Linked DNA regions of Schizosaccharomyces pombe. The gene in region 3 interacts genetically with the main gene of each other region. Each region holds a gene or a part of one and is shown on either strand. Other genes may lie near its edges.

What was found. A genetic interaction does not mean that the proteins touch.
Region 1: mutations in cuf2 (region 3) and xlf1 together harm fitness more than expected from each alone (negative genetic interaction), as found in Schizosaccharomyces pombe (one large-scale study listed by BioGRID).
Region 2: mutations in cuf2 (region 3) and dis32 together harm fitness less than expected from each alone (positive genetic interaction), as found in Schizosaccharomyces pombe (one large-scale study listed by BioGRID).

Annotation. Positions count from the first base shown.
Region 1 is NC_003421.2:923,679-927,077, forward strand, and holds xlf1 (XRCC4-like factor xlf1), read right to left. Parts: upstream 1,414-3,399; 5' UTR 1,259-1,413; coding exon 1,103-1,258; intron 990-1,102; coding exon 534-989; downstream 1-533.
Region 2 is NC_003424.3:4,270,359-4,276,060, reverse strand, and holds dis32 (3'-5'-exoribonuclease Dis32), read left to right. Parts: upstream 1-1,931; 5' UTR 1,932-1,980; coding exon 1,981-4,764; 3' UTR 4,765-5,169; downstream 5,170-5,702. Other genes in the region: SPOM_SPAC2C4.09 (uncharacterized protein), read right to left, coding at 1-37; SPOM_SPAC2C4.08 (uncharacterized protein), read right to left, coding at 159-890; rcm1 (rRNA methyltransferase), read left to right, coding at 5,190-5,325, 5,387-5,445, 5,507-5,702. UniProt on the Schizosaccharomyces pombe protein: 3'-5'-exoribonuclease that specifically recognizes RNAs polyuridylated at their 3' end and mediates their degradation.
Region 3 is NC_003421.2:1,530,226-1,533,306, reverse strand, and holds cuf2 (Cu metalloregulatory transcription factor Cuf2), read right to left. Parts: upstream 1,182-3,081; coding exon 1,150-1,181; exon of another isoform or gene 1,100-1,149; coding exon 1,007-1,099; exon of another isoform or gene 963-1,006; coding exon 554-962; downstream 1-553. Other genes in the region: SPOM_SPCC584.03C (GTPase regulator), read left to right, coding at 1-285.

The DNA.
Region 1 (3,399 bases), 610 kb from region 3:
GCAACTATCATACAATTCTCCTTTGGGTAAATAACTAACCTTGGGATGTGTCGTAACTTGGGACTTATTTTTGATTTGTTATAAGGATGAAATGAATGTTCTATCTTATGGACCTTACAAGAAAAACTATAATATTGTCAAATATAATCATATGAGATGAGTTAAGCTACATAAAACTCTTTGAAACTTTATTTTATATTATTGCAACCTTCTAATAACTTTACATCTTCTTATCCAAAGAAGAAGGGTTAGAATGTACCGTGTTTTACGGAAGTTCCATTCCCGTAGGGTTACAATGTGTTGCTAGAATAAACCGTAAGTCATAGTACATATAGAGGCCAATTCTGTAAACTTTTTTAAAGTCTATGGAAAACCCTCTATGTGTCTCCAATAGAGAACGGACATCTCTTTCTGATTAGTATATACGTTTTCATAGTCTCTTCATCCTGAGGTAAATTGTACAAAACGCTGTAGTTAAACATGTGATCGAGTTAAATAGATATCTTCATAGTTCAATATACCATTAGATTTTTTTAAACAAAATCATAACGAGTACGAGGTCGTTTTGGAGAAATAATATCTGCAAATGCTGAACGTTTTCTTGGTGTGGAAGGATTGGAAGACGAGGATCTTTCATTTAATGCTTCCTTGAACCAAGTCTTGTCATTCAATAAAGACTTTTGATCACGAATAATGGACATTAACGATCCTGGACTAGTGTCGGTTTCTGACTCGAATAAGTGATGATTGATAAGAGGAAACCATACCATCTTGGCAATCGTCTCTGGTGGAGTAAGCCAAAGGGTCCAATTCCATTCTAAGAAAATATCTTTAGCTATTTTTGAGGTACAGAAAATTTTTAAAGATCCCTCGTCATTTGAGCCTCGTAGTTGAATTCTACTTTCAGAAGAAACATTCACCAGCACTTCAGCCAGTACATCGACTAACGTTTCAAACGTTTGAAATGGATCGATAGGACATCTTTCGCTCTGTTTAAAAGTTAATATAACTCTTGGTTGAGAGAAAGGTGTTAATTTGGTTGCATTTATAACTGCTTTTCCCCTGAAAGCATAGTAGCAATGTAGTTGTTAACTAATCTTACCTCTGCCTGATTGACGATTTGATTGCGGCTACATGTACAGGACCAAACACGCACTAGGTCTGTAATATGAATGACTTGTACAGCCTCATTACTTTCTGCGTCGAAGCTAGCCTGTATAAAATGAAACCTGTGGCCACGTAGCTGCACCCAAGACATCAAGTATAAACAAATGCAATGTCTTGTTCAGTATCTCAAATTGATTATAACAGCAATTCAATTGAAAATATTAAAGCTAAATCACTAAAATAGAAGAAATAAGCTCAGCAATGGTCACAGTTGAGAATTCGAGTTTGCAAAGTAGTATTGGTATTGATGAGAAAATTAAACAACCGATATATGCCAGAGTAAACAATAACTATGCCAAGTTATTCTTTAAACTTTAGAATGTGAAAATTAGATCAATTGGAATGCTTTTGTAAAATATTGTCTAGTGGTTTGAAAGTAGCCAGCGAAAGACAACACAAACAAGGACAGAAAGGAACTACCAAGTAATTTGAGAGCTATTTTTTTTTGAAGCTTAATTTGAAAACGAAAAAATTATTAAGTAGATAAGAATGACTCCGTTCGGTTTTTTCTTCTGCTCACAGAATTTCGTGGACTAGGGGACATTTCAGCGGTATGTTCAGAAGAAGTATTGTTTCTAATTTGAGAAGAGATATCCATTCTGGATAACTTCAAGGCCCTCTTGTTCCGAAGATTGACCTACAATCATCATCCGTGTTTACATGTAGCTCTTATATTCTGCACAAGCGTGCTACTGTGTTTATATATATATATTTTTTCTAACTAAAAGTATATATATGTTTGCTATTGCTACTTCATTGTAACGTCAATGGTAAATGAAGAAGTATGTGATATAAAAACGCAAATTAATTATGCCTAACTCATTAACGACTACGAAACGTCTGAAGGTAAGAGGCAGGGAACCACATACAATGAATGTACATACTACTTCCAAAAGGATTTCGCATTGTTTGTTAGAAAGAGATGAAAATCAGAGCTCTTAGTTTTTTTGAAGCAATGTCATTTCTTCTTATAATTTAAACTAAAATCAGAGGTGTTCAACAAAAAGGTCTCGTGGCCCAATGGTTAAGGCGCTTGACTACGGATCAAGAGATTCCAGGTTCGACTCCTGGCGGGATCGACCTTTTTGTTAAATAATTTTTTTGGGTTTTTTTGAATAATTCAATTTGAAAATACACAACCGTTATTATTTATAAATTCGAGTGCAAAAAGGATGTATGAACTTAGAGGACATAGTCAGTATATACTGAGCGGGATTTACATTCCACAAATGAATTTCATCGACTACATTAACTACTCCTGATTTACATTATATATTACTAAATTACTAACTGTGTGTCTACGGCCATACCTAGGCGAAAACACCAGTTCCCGTCCGATCACTGCAGTTAAGCGTCTGAGGGCCTCGTTAGTACTATGGTTGGAGACAACATGGGAATCCGGGGTGCTGTAGGCTCCTTCTTTTTTATTTACTATTTGCTTGGCTTCTGCAGTTAACAATTAGGAAGATGTACATATACATAACAAGTTTGAAAGCACTTATCGAGATGATTTGCAATTACGAATCATGAAAACTACAGCAGAAGTTCACGGCTTCTCAGGCTACAACAAAGTTCTACTTCTCTGAGTGGATCATTTTTAACAAAGTTGATTAATTAATTTTTAAAGAAAAATAGATATTTTTCCTTTCCACGGGGCATTTCAAAGGAAAAAAGAATCTGAAATACACTTTAAGAAAGGAGTTTTTTTCTCCCCATCGTATTCAATTCGGCAATCAATGTAACTTATAAAAGAGACTCAGACTGAATCAAATTCGATGGGTGCAACTTTCAAATTATTCTAAAGGGTTCATGCCCTCTATTTATAGTAAAAAGAGCGAAGAAAAAATTTTTGAACACACGAATTTTACACACAAACTGCACAACGCTTTAAGTGTTTTTCTAATTTAAATTCTGATAAATAACAAATTTGAATGCATAAGCTCAATAGACTATTCCCTCTAGCTGGATCTAAAACTTTGACTTCTGAAACAAATGCACAAGAAACAGTAATATCATTCATTATTGTTATATTGTTATAACAAGGTTTGATTCATTGATTTTGTTAATTATTTTTATACAATGAAATAAACAGAACAAGATATTAACGAACAATTTATTTTACAAGTGTTTTGTTTAGAGAAATTAACAAACAAAAAGAAGAAATGATCACAAATAAAGTATTCGAGGATTGGGAGAATGACTATTTCTTAAAGACAGAACAATTAACCGATG
Region 2 (5,702 bases), on a different chromosome or scaffold from region 3:
GATGGTATATACTATTGCAAGGAATCTTTAGATACATTGGATCTTTCAACCTGTCCTTGAGTGGGTAGTAGGTGGGAGCAGAAATTAACGCGCAAAAGCAATAAGTAAAAAGAAAGTTATATCAAGTTTTGATCAAGGCAAGTATAAAAAAGAATGAATTAAAAATTAGACAACGTGAATTTGTTAGTCATTTCTCGAAGGGCTTCTGAGGTATACCTCGCATCGTTGCCGGCATTGTGAAGACAAAAAGCTCGGATGTTCAAGTGAGTGAGCATTTTAGCAAGAGAGATGTTGTTGGAATTTGAAATTTCTTTGAGGAATAAACTTTGAAAGAATGAGAAAACGTTCTGCGTATCAAGAACCGTGACATCCTTTGGAATAGGTATTCCAAGGACGTTTGCATACTTTATTTCGTTTTCCACTCCGTGTCCTACTAGATGTAGATTTGGTGTTTTCAAAATTTTTTTCAGAATACTTATAAACGCAATTTTTGTCACAATCTTGGAGTCACCAAATTGAAAGTTATCGGCTTCATCTGGAACAAATCGACCGTTGCGTAGATGTAGAAAATTCTTAATCCTGTAGTGGTGGTAGTCCCATTCTCCATTAATTCTCATCGTAATCCCAGCCTCAGTTATGATTTTCTGGTTGAATTCATATGCCTCAAAATCAATTACCAAAAAGTTACAACTTGGGTTGGAAACGGCTTGAAATGCTACAAGAGCTTCACCTTTGGCTCTAATTAATTTCTTTTCAGCTCTTTGAATTGCTGCACGTCGCTTCCGCTCTTTCCTTTCTGCTTTAACTTCTTCTGGCGTCAACTTGTAACGAATCCGTTTTTGCTCATGCCGAGAAACATTTACAGCTTTTTTTGCTTGCAATCTGTTCATCTCAGAGATAGATCTTAAAATAAACGGAAAGGGGAATTCGTATGAAAGCAAGTACTAGTGATAACTTAGAAGAGGTAAACAAGTAGCTTCTAACTTCTCTAGCAATGGCATGTGTAATTTCAAAGTATATACTAGCAAATAATCCCAAATCCTTATGTTGCAAAAAATAATTATCGTTAATTTACTATGATTACTTTTTCAATTTATAAATGGATTTTGTTTTGTTAAATATCAATTATTCTTTGTTTACAATCAGAAAGTGTGTTTAAAATATATATTCCACTGTCAAATATCTTCGTTCAGTCATTTCCATCTATTCAAAAATTACAAATATAAGACATATTTCAAATTACCTGAAAAAGGCTTCAATTTTTAAAGCTACGTGATTTTTTACATCAAAAAATATTATTGAATTTAACAGGTGACTCTATCACGGATTTCACTTTGTTAAACAGCTTTTAGGAGGTTAGCATTTGTTAAAAAAAATTTTATTTTATTTTATTTTTTTTTTATTTCTTATTAATTGACTGAAGAAATACTCCGTCTCTTAATTTGATTATGAAATTTTTTTTTATTTTTGGGTATGGTTTCTTTTTTTTCTTTAATTGCAATTACAAAAGTAATTAAAATTATGTTAGTCTTTATGACTTCTCAATTGCCATCCTTTAATAAATAGATTAGTATCAACTTTTGAACGAATCTAATATTACAATTGCAAGTTTAGATCGATTTACTAAGCTCTTTCAGTACGATACAAAAAAACAAAAAAGGAAGCAAGAAGTATACTAAAAACCATACACTTGCAGATATTTGGTTGAGGAAGATAGAAAGCTATGTTTTTTGGATGTATAGTTTATACGCCCTTTATCAATTTTGAAACTGTAGCTTAGTATAGAATGAAGTAGTGTAGATATTTGAGCGAACGTCAAGACTATCAATTTTATTGATTTCCATGAATGGTTTAGAATTTTGCATTTAGTATAAATTATTTCATTTATTTTGTTGCCCCTAATATATCTCCTAGTTGCGCTCAGTGAATTTAACAATTGCATGCCTTAACTCTACTACCACCTCCATATTTTCACAAAGTATGGATTTAAAACCAAATATTAGAAGAAAGGAAAAGCGAAATTTATTAAAGGGAGAAGCTGCTTTAGAAAAAAAAGGCTCTATTGATAGAAAGACAAAAAATAAAGCATATCCGTCTACTACTCACGATCCTCATCAAAATGATGATTCCAACATTCCTGGATTAGGAAGTGGACTATTGGAAAGGATCAAAGATATTGTTCAAAGGCCAACAGATACCCAATTAAAAGGTCAAGATTCGAACCATAAGAAAGCCAGCTTGACTGAAACGAAGACCGAGAAAGCCAAGGTTAAACCGAAGGCAAAGAAGAAAAACTCGAAGGAAAAAATCTCTAAAAGTTCTAAGCAGGATGAACATAAAACCGACGTGCATAAAGAAAGTGTCTCGAAACTTTCCAAGAATTTGGAGTCCAGAAATAATCGAGATGAAAATTCCGCGAAACGAGAAAAAAACAATTCTCATCAAGTTGAAGCAGATACGAATAACGCCACTGAGATGGTATCATCCAATGCGAAAAAGTCAGTATACCCGTTGTACTACGACTCTGCAACGGTTAAAAAAGGATTAAAAAGTGGTACATTATTTAAAGGAACGCTTCGTATTCTTGAAAATCATCGTAGCGCTTTTGCTTGTATGGAAGATATACCTGATTTTTATGTTGATGGGCCAATTGCTAGAAATCGTGCTTTTCACAACGACGTTGTAATTGTGGAACCTGTGATGAATAATGACAGCCCCACTGAAAAATCGAATTTTTTACAGAATGGTGTCGAGAAAGTCAAAATAAAAGATCATGACGATGAGTTAGGTGGAGCAATGGAGCATTTGGAAAGATTAGAAATTAAAAGTGTTGCAAGCTTCAAAGGTGATAGCAGAACGAGAGCTCGTGTTGTCGCCATTGAGAAGAGAGCGGAAATTTCTAAAATTGTAGGGATTTTAAGAGCACCAGGTTGGTCATTAAAAAATGTAGAATATGTTTCCAAAAAATCCTCGTACGCGATTTTCATTCCAAAAGATAAACGTCTGCCCTTTATCACAATTCACAAAAATGATTTAAGCGATTTAAGTGGTGAAAATTGGATTGAAAATATTTTGAAACACCACGATCAGTTGTTTTCAGTTGAGATTACAAGGTGGAGTATTTACTCTCGTTACCCTATGGGTGTATTAGGTGAAAAGCTGGGAAATATTACTGACGTGGAGGCTTACACTAATGCGCTTTTGCTAGAAAATGGAATTAGTAGCTCTCCCTTCTCTGATGAGGTTTTAAACTGCTTGCCTCCTGATGATTGGATTATCTCACATGAGGAAATAAAAAAACGAAGAGATTTAAGAAATGAGTTAATTATTACCATTGATCCTGAAACAGCTCGTGACTTGGATGATGCTGTTTCCTGTCGCGCTCTTGACAATGGCACTTATGAAGTGGGTGTCCACATCGCTGATGTTACTCATTTTGTAAAACCAGATTCAGCATTGGACAAAGAGGCAGCTTCGCGGGCTACAACAGTATACCTTGTGCAAAAGGCTATTCCGATGCTTCCTCCTCTGTTGTGTGAACGACTTTGTTCATTAAATCCCAACGTTGAGCGTCTTGCATTTAGCGTTTTTTGGAAACTCGACTCCAATGGTAAGGAAATTGGTAAGCGTTGGTTTGGCAAAACAGTTATAAAGACATGTGCCAGACTTGCCTACAGTGAGGCTCAAGGTGTGATCGAAGGAAAGTCCTGGGATGATGCTGTAGGCAAACCGATAGGAGGTACGCATACTCCAAAAGATGTTGAAACGTCTATATTAACACTTTGCGAAATTTCGAGAAAGCTTCGCAAAGATCGATTTGCTAAGGGCGCTGTAGAGATTAACTCGACAGAACTCAAATTCCAATTAGATGAATATGGAATGCCGAATAAATGCGAGGTATATGAGCAAACCGATGCAAATCATCTCATCGAAGAGTTTATGCTTCTCGCCAATAGATCTGTTGCTGAACATATCAGTAAAAATTTCTCCAATAATTCCTTGCTTCGTCGCCATGCAAGTCCTAAAGAGAAACAAATTAATGAGTTTTGTCACTTTCTAAAAAGCATGAACTTCGATTTCGATGCATCGTCTTCAGCTGCATTTAATGCCTCTATGGTACGACTCAGAAGCACTTTTAATGAAGAATTGGTAGAATTATTTGAAAATATGGCAGTTCGCTCGTTAAATCGTGCTGAATACTTTTGTACTGGCGATTTCGGTGAGAAAACAGACTGGCACCATTACGCTCTTTCATTTAATCATTATACCCATTTTACTTCTCCGATTAGAAGATACCCTGACATTATTGTTCATCGTTTATTGGAACGTAGCCTTAAGAACACATCCCCGGGTATTGACAAAAAAAATTGTTCGTTAGTGGCTGCACATTGTAATGAAAAGAAGGAGAAATCCACCACTGTGCAAGAAGATAGCCAGCAACTCTTTTTGTCTGTATATATTGCTGAGTATTGCAAAAAGCATGATAAGAAATCTATGCCAGTTCAAGCATTTGCGACTAGAATATCTGGAAATTCTATTGATGTCTATATCTCTGAATATGGAATATCCAACAGAGTAGACCTCAGTTCAGATGATAGAATTAAAAGTTTTATAGTTGCTCCCGATGACTCCTCTGTTAAAATTACGTTGTTTGATGATTCTCAAAAGACTATAGCTCTTACGGATCGTTTCCAAGTTTATTTATATTCTGATTACAGTCGTACATTTTTCAGTATTCGCTGTAGTCTAGTTTCTTTGAATTAAAGGCCTAGTGTTGTTTATGAATTTTTGACTGAAATATAACTTTGTTAATTTTGGGTCAGATTACCTTTTATTTATGATGCATGCCACCTATTGAATGGTTGTTCACGTTTATCCTACACATTTTAAAACGCTTATTATTATTACTATTATGTTTCATGGATTATGACAATTGAATGACTTTGTTATGCCCAGACGACTTATGTTTGATATATTTTTCTCATTCGTGAGAGAAACACAATTAAAATAAAAAATTTAACATCAATAAGAAATTTCTTTAGTTAACAAATTCACTTTGGCTGCAATTGTTGAATATTTTATTTATACCTATACATACAAGTAACAATAGACATTGTGACCTGAGTAAGGTACTCAGTTTTGTGCAGCAGCTTTTCCACTACTCATACCGAGGAGGATCTTGCCTCGATATGGATTTTTATAATCATGCTGCCAACATACTTTCAGATTTAAGTAAAAAAAAAGGATCAATTAAGCAATTAGCATTTAATTCAAAAAAACATGATCCAAAACGCACTTATGCTTTGGTTTGCGAAACTCTCAAATGTAAACAAGAATAGTAAAACTTTAATATAAACGATTTGACTAACTTTCTTCTTTTATATAGATAAACCTGTTTTGGATGAAATAATTGCGCGATCCGAGTTATTAGTTTTAGAGAAAAAGGTACAAATTAATGAAACGATAGTTGTTTCGTAATTTTTTGAAGCTAACCTGGTTATTGTAGTTAAAAGAAAATTTGGCTAGAGTCCTTGTCCATGATTTACTGATGTCAAAGCGAGGGTTATCCATTTCAAATGGTCCTATCAAGGAATGCATTCTTCGTCACAAGACACGCCTGAACGCCGAGTTTGTCAAACTCAAGGTGAAAAAAGGGGTTAAGAGCCATGAGGAGCTGGCATTGAAAAATCCTGTGTCGCTCC
Region 3 (3,081 bases):
ACGTTTCTGTCACCATGGAATATTAAAAACATACCTCTTGTTACCCCTGAAGTTTCAACACGTCAAACGAAAAATGTTGATGAAGAGGATTCAGCTTTATTGATGGCTAGCCCTTCTGTCCGGAAGTCCAATTTACTTCCTCAGGAGGACCTCATTTCAAAGGATTCTGTGATTAAATTAAAAGAAAACCCTTCTGTTATTCCTCATTCCGAGCCTGAATCATCGTCGAAAGTTATCAACTGCCAGGCTAAATTAAATGTGGAAAAAGAAAAGAAAAACCCGTGAAAACTTTATCAGAGTAATATTGACGCTATTCAATACACAACTATTCTAAATTTCACTTCCCATGGGAAATCCTTGAAATGGTGTTTGATCCCCAGTAAATTTGAATACATAGATTTCTCTAATGTTATATGCACCTTTTTAGACGACCAAAACATTCAAATTACTTCATCTTTTTATGATTGAATACTTTATGTGAGAGTACTTATACATATGATATGACAATAACCTTCATTTGTCGCTATTTGGAATAATAACGAAAGTTGTGAATTCAAGGGATTCCGGATATATCGTCTTTGGAATGTAAGTACTTTGCGAAATTGAAAATATCGGCCTCTTGGTTTATGGTAAAAGAATCGTTTTCTTTTTCATTCAATTGACTTGCATCAATGCGATTAGAAGCATCTGTTAGTGAAAGAGGTTTCCTATATCCTAATATATCTTCACTGATGGGTAGTGTTCTTCCTAAATCGAAGGTGTAGGCTTGACTTGCAGGATTTAAAGAAGAATTCATAATATCTTTGTCGGTTGAAAACAAAAAAAGGCTAGCCAATATTGGGTTTTTCTGAGTGAAATTTAATAACTCCTGATACTCATTGGCGAAGGGTAGAAAAGGCTGCAAATGACAAACGCATTTTAAATTACTCTTAAGTTGTTGTTTTATGGCTCTGCATTTTTTGCTGAATTTCAAGTTAATATTTTTTTTCTGATCAATGTGACATACCATAGTAACGGCCTTCCTCTAGTTCGAACTTCTATCAGTGCCCTTTCTTGATGCTGGCAGGATGAGCCTCGATGACCTCGAAGGCATACAACACTAGAGTAAGTGTTAAAAATTTTATCTTATAACCATACAAAAAGTCTTACCAAGCATAATTCTTACCGTCAATAATGATCATGATTGAAGGTATTTGTGATTAAGGGAAAAGAAGACAAGTAGGATTCGAGTAAATAAGCTAGTCGAGGAACGTTTTAAATAAATTCCTCTTATACGTTCTCTTCCTTTAGGTTGATAAATTGTAAATGACAGCTTTTTCCCAAATTCCTTTTTCCTCGTCTCTGCTTTAGCTTTCTGATCCAGAAGAATTGCACAACGGATATTAATAGAAGACAAGACGAACAGCTAAGTGTTTTAAAATAATATACTTTACTTTTAAATATTTCCAATGTTTGTTGTTTGTCAAAAGTTTGAGTGCTGGCATAAATTATTTATAAGCTCTAGCTATGGACATTTGTTTACATATTATGGGATAAACAAATACATCAACTTATTGACACTAACCAACAATAACATACAAAATAGGAAGGTATTAAATCACTATGTTCAATGTTTTTGAGCACAATTTCGTAGAAAAGATAATTTTGATTTAATGAGTGTGCAAACTGATCAAATTGTGATTTTTCCTCGAGGCGATTTCATTCTATGTTTTTATGATTGCGTCAATTCTCTAAGCAGTTTTGCGATTTTCTGCACTCTAAACTTGTTAAATAACTTTTGTTTGCAAAAGGTACCAGATGCTATAAAGACTGGATTTTGTTAATATACTACTTTATATTATAACATATATGATTTTCAGATTACAAAACAGCTTAAAAGTTTGCAACCTAAAGACATAATAACTTTTTTATTGATTGCTCATTTATTTTAATTGATTATTATTTTTCAGGGTTATATCGAGTTACTTTGTTTTAATGTCAGGTTTAAAAAAATAATTAAATGAAAGTAAATGTAAAATGAGGTAGGCTTGTCAGACCCTTCAAATTTTTTTAAAAAAAATTGAAATATTTCTTTCAGAAAGGTATGATTAAACTCACAATTTTTTTCGATTTCAAAAAATCTTTTAATCAATTTGAATATTTGCTACCTACAAATATTGTCACATAATAGAAATGTAGACGAAGTGATTTCATCAAATTAAGGAACGTTCAGTATTTTAAAAAAAGATATGTAAATTCTACAATTTGTGACGATTTGGAGATGCTACTATTTGAAATGTAAATGTATTTACATAAATGTATATTTGCTGCTAGATGCTGATATACTGGGTATAATGAACATAATTACAGCACAGTACTTAGATGCATTTAGCGCACTATGAATAAATCAGTAAATATTGAATACCTGTCAATTTTCTGGAGATAAAACTAACTAGCTAAACTAAAATCATATAATGGAGCTTCTAAAATCAAGTACGTTGCTGAAATCGAACACATCAATACGTGCGGTTCTTTACTCAAATTCACTTGACATTCTATTTCATGTTTTTCAGAATGCGAAAGATGATAATGTCTTTCTGATCAGATTGCTACAAGATGAGACTACTAAAAGTATTGAAATTTAGAAAACCTTATAAAAACAATAACTACCTTGCACACACATTTTCTTAATTTGATGAGAATAAAACTGCTAACCCCAACGGTCGTTATTTATCGTCTGGGTATCCGTAAATCTCTGTATACCTGTTCAAAGATATACAACGTCACATCTGTCAACTACATTCCATTATGTTGTTAAATCCCTTCAAATGTAAGCTACGCAGTTTGGTATCTGATTTAAGGATACGTAGAACTGCGGTGAGTTTTCCTTGTGATCTATTATATTACAATACACAGGTTGTATAAGTAGCAACTGAGTATAGGTATTGTATTAACTGAGTTATAATGTTACCTATCACTAATATAGCTTATAACTGAACTGAGGAACGAGGTTCAGCAGTAGCTCTATTTATATTATTCAGATAATATAGATCTTGATAGATTATCATTAAGATCAATCTCAATATCGTATCATACATGGTA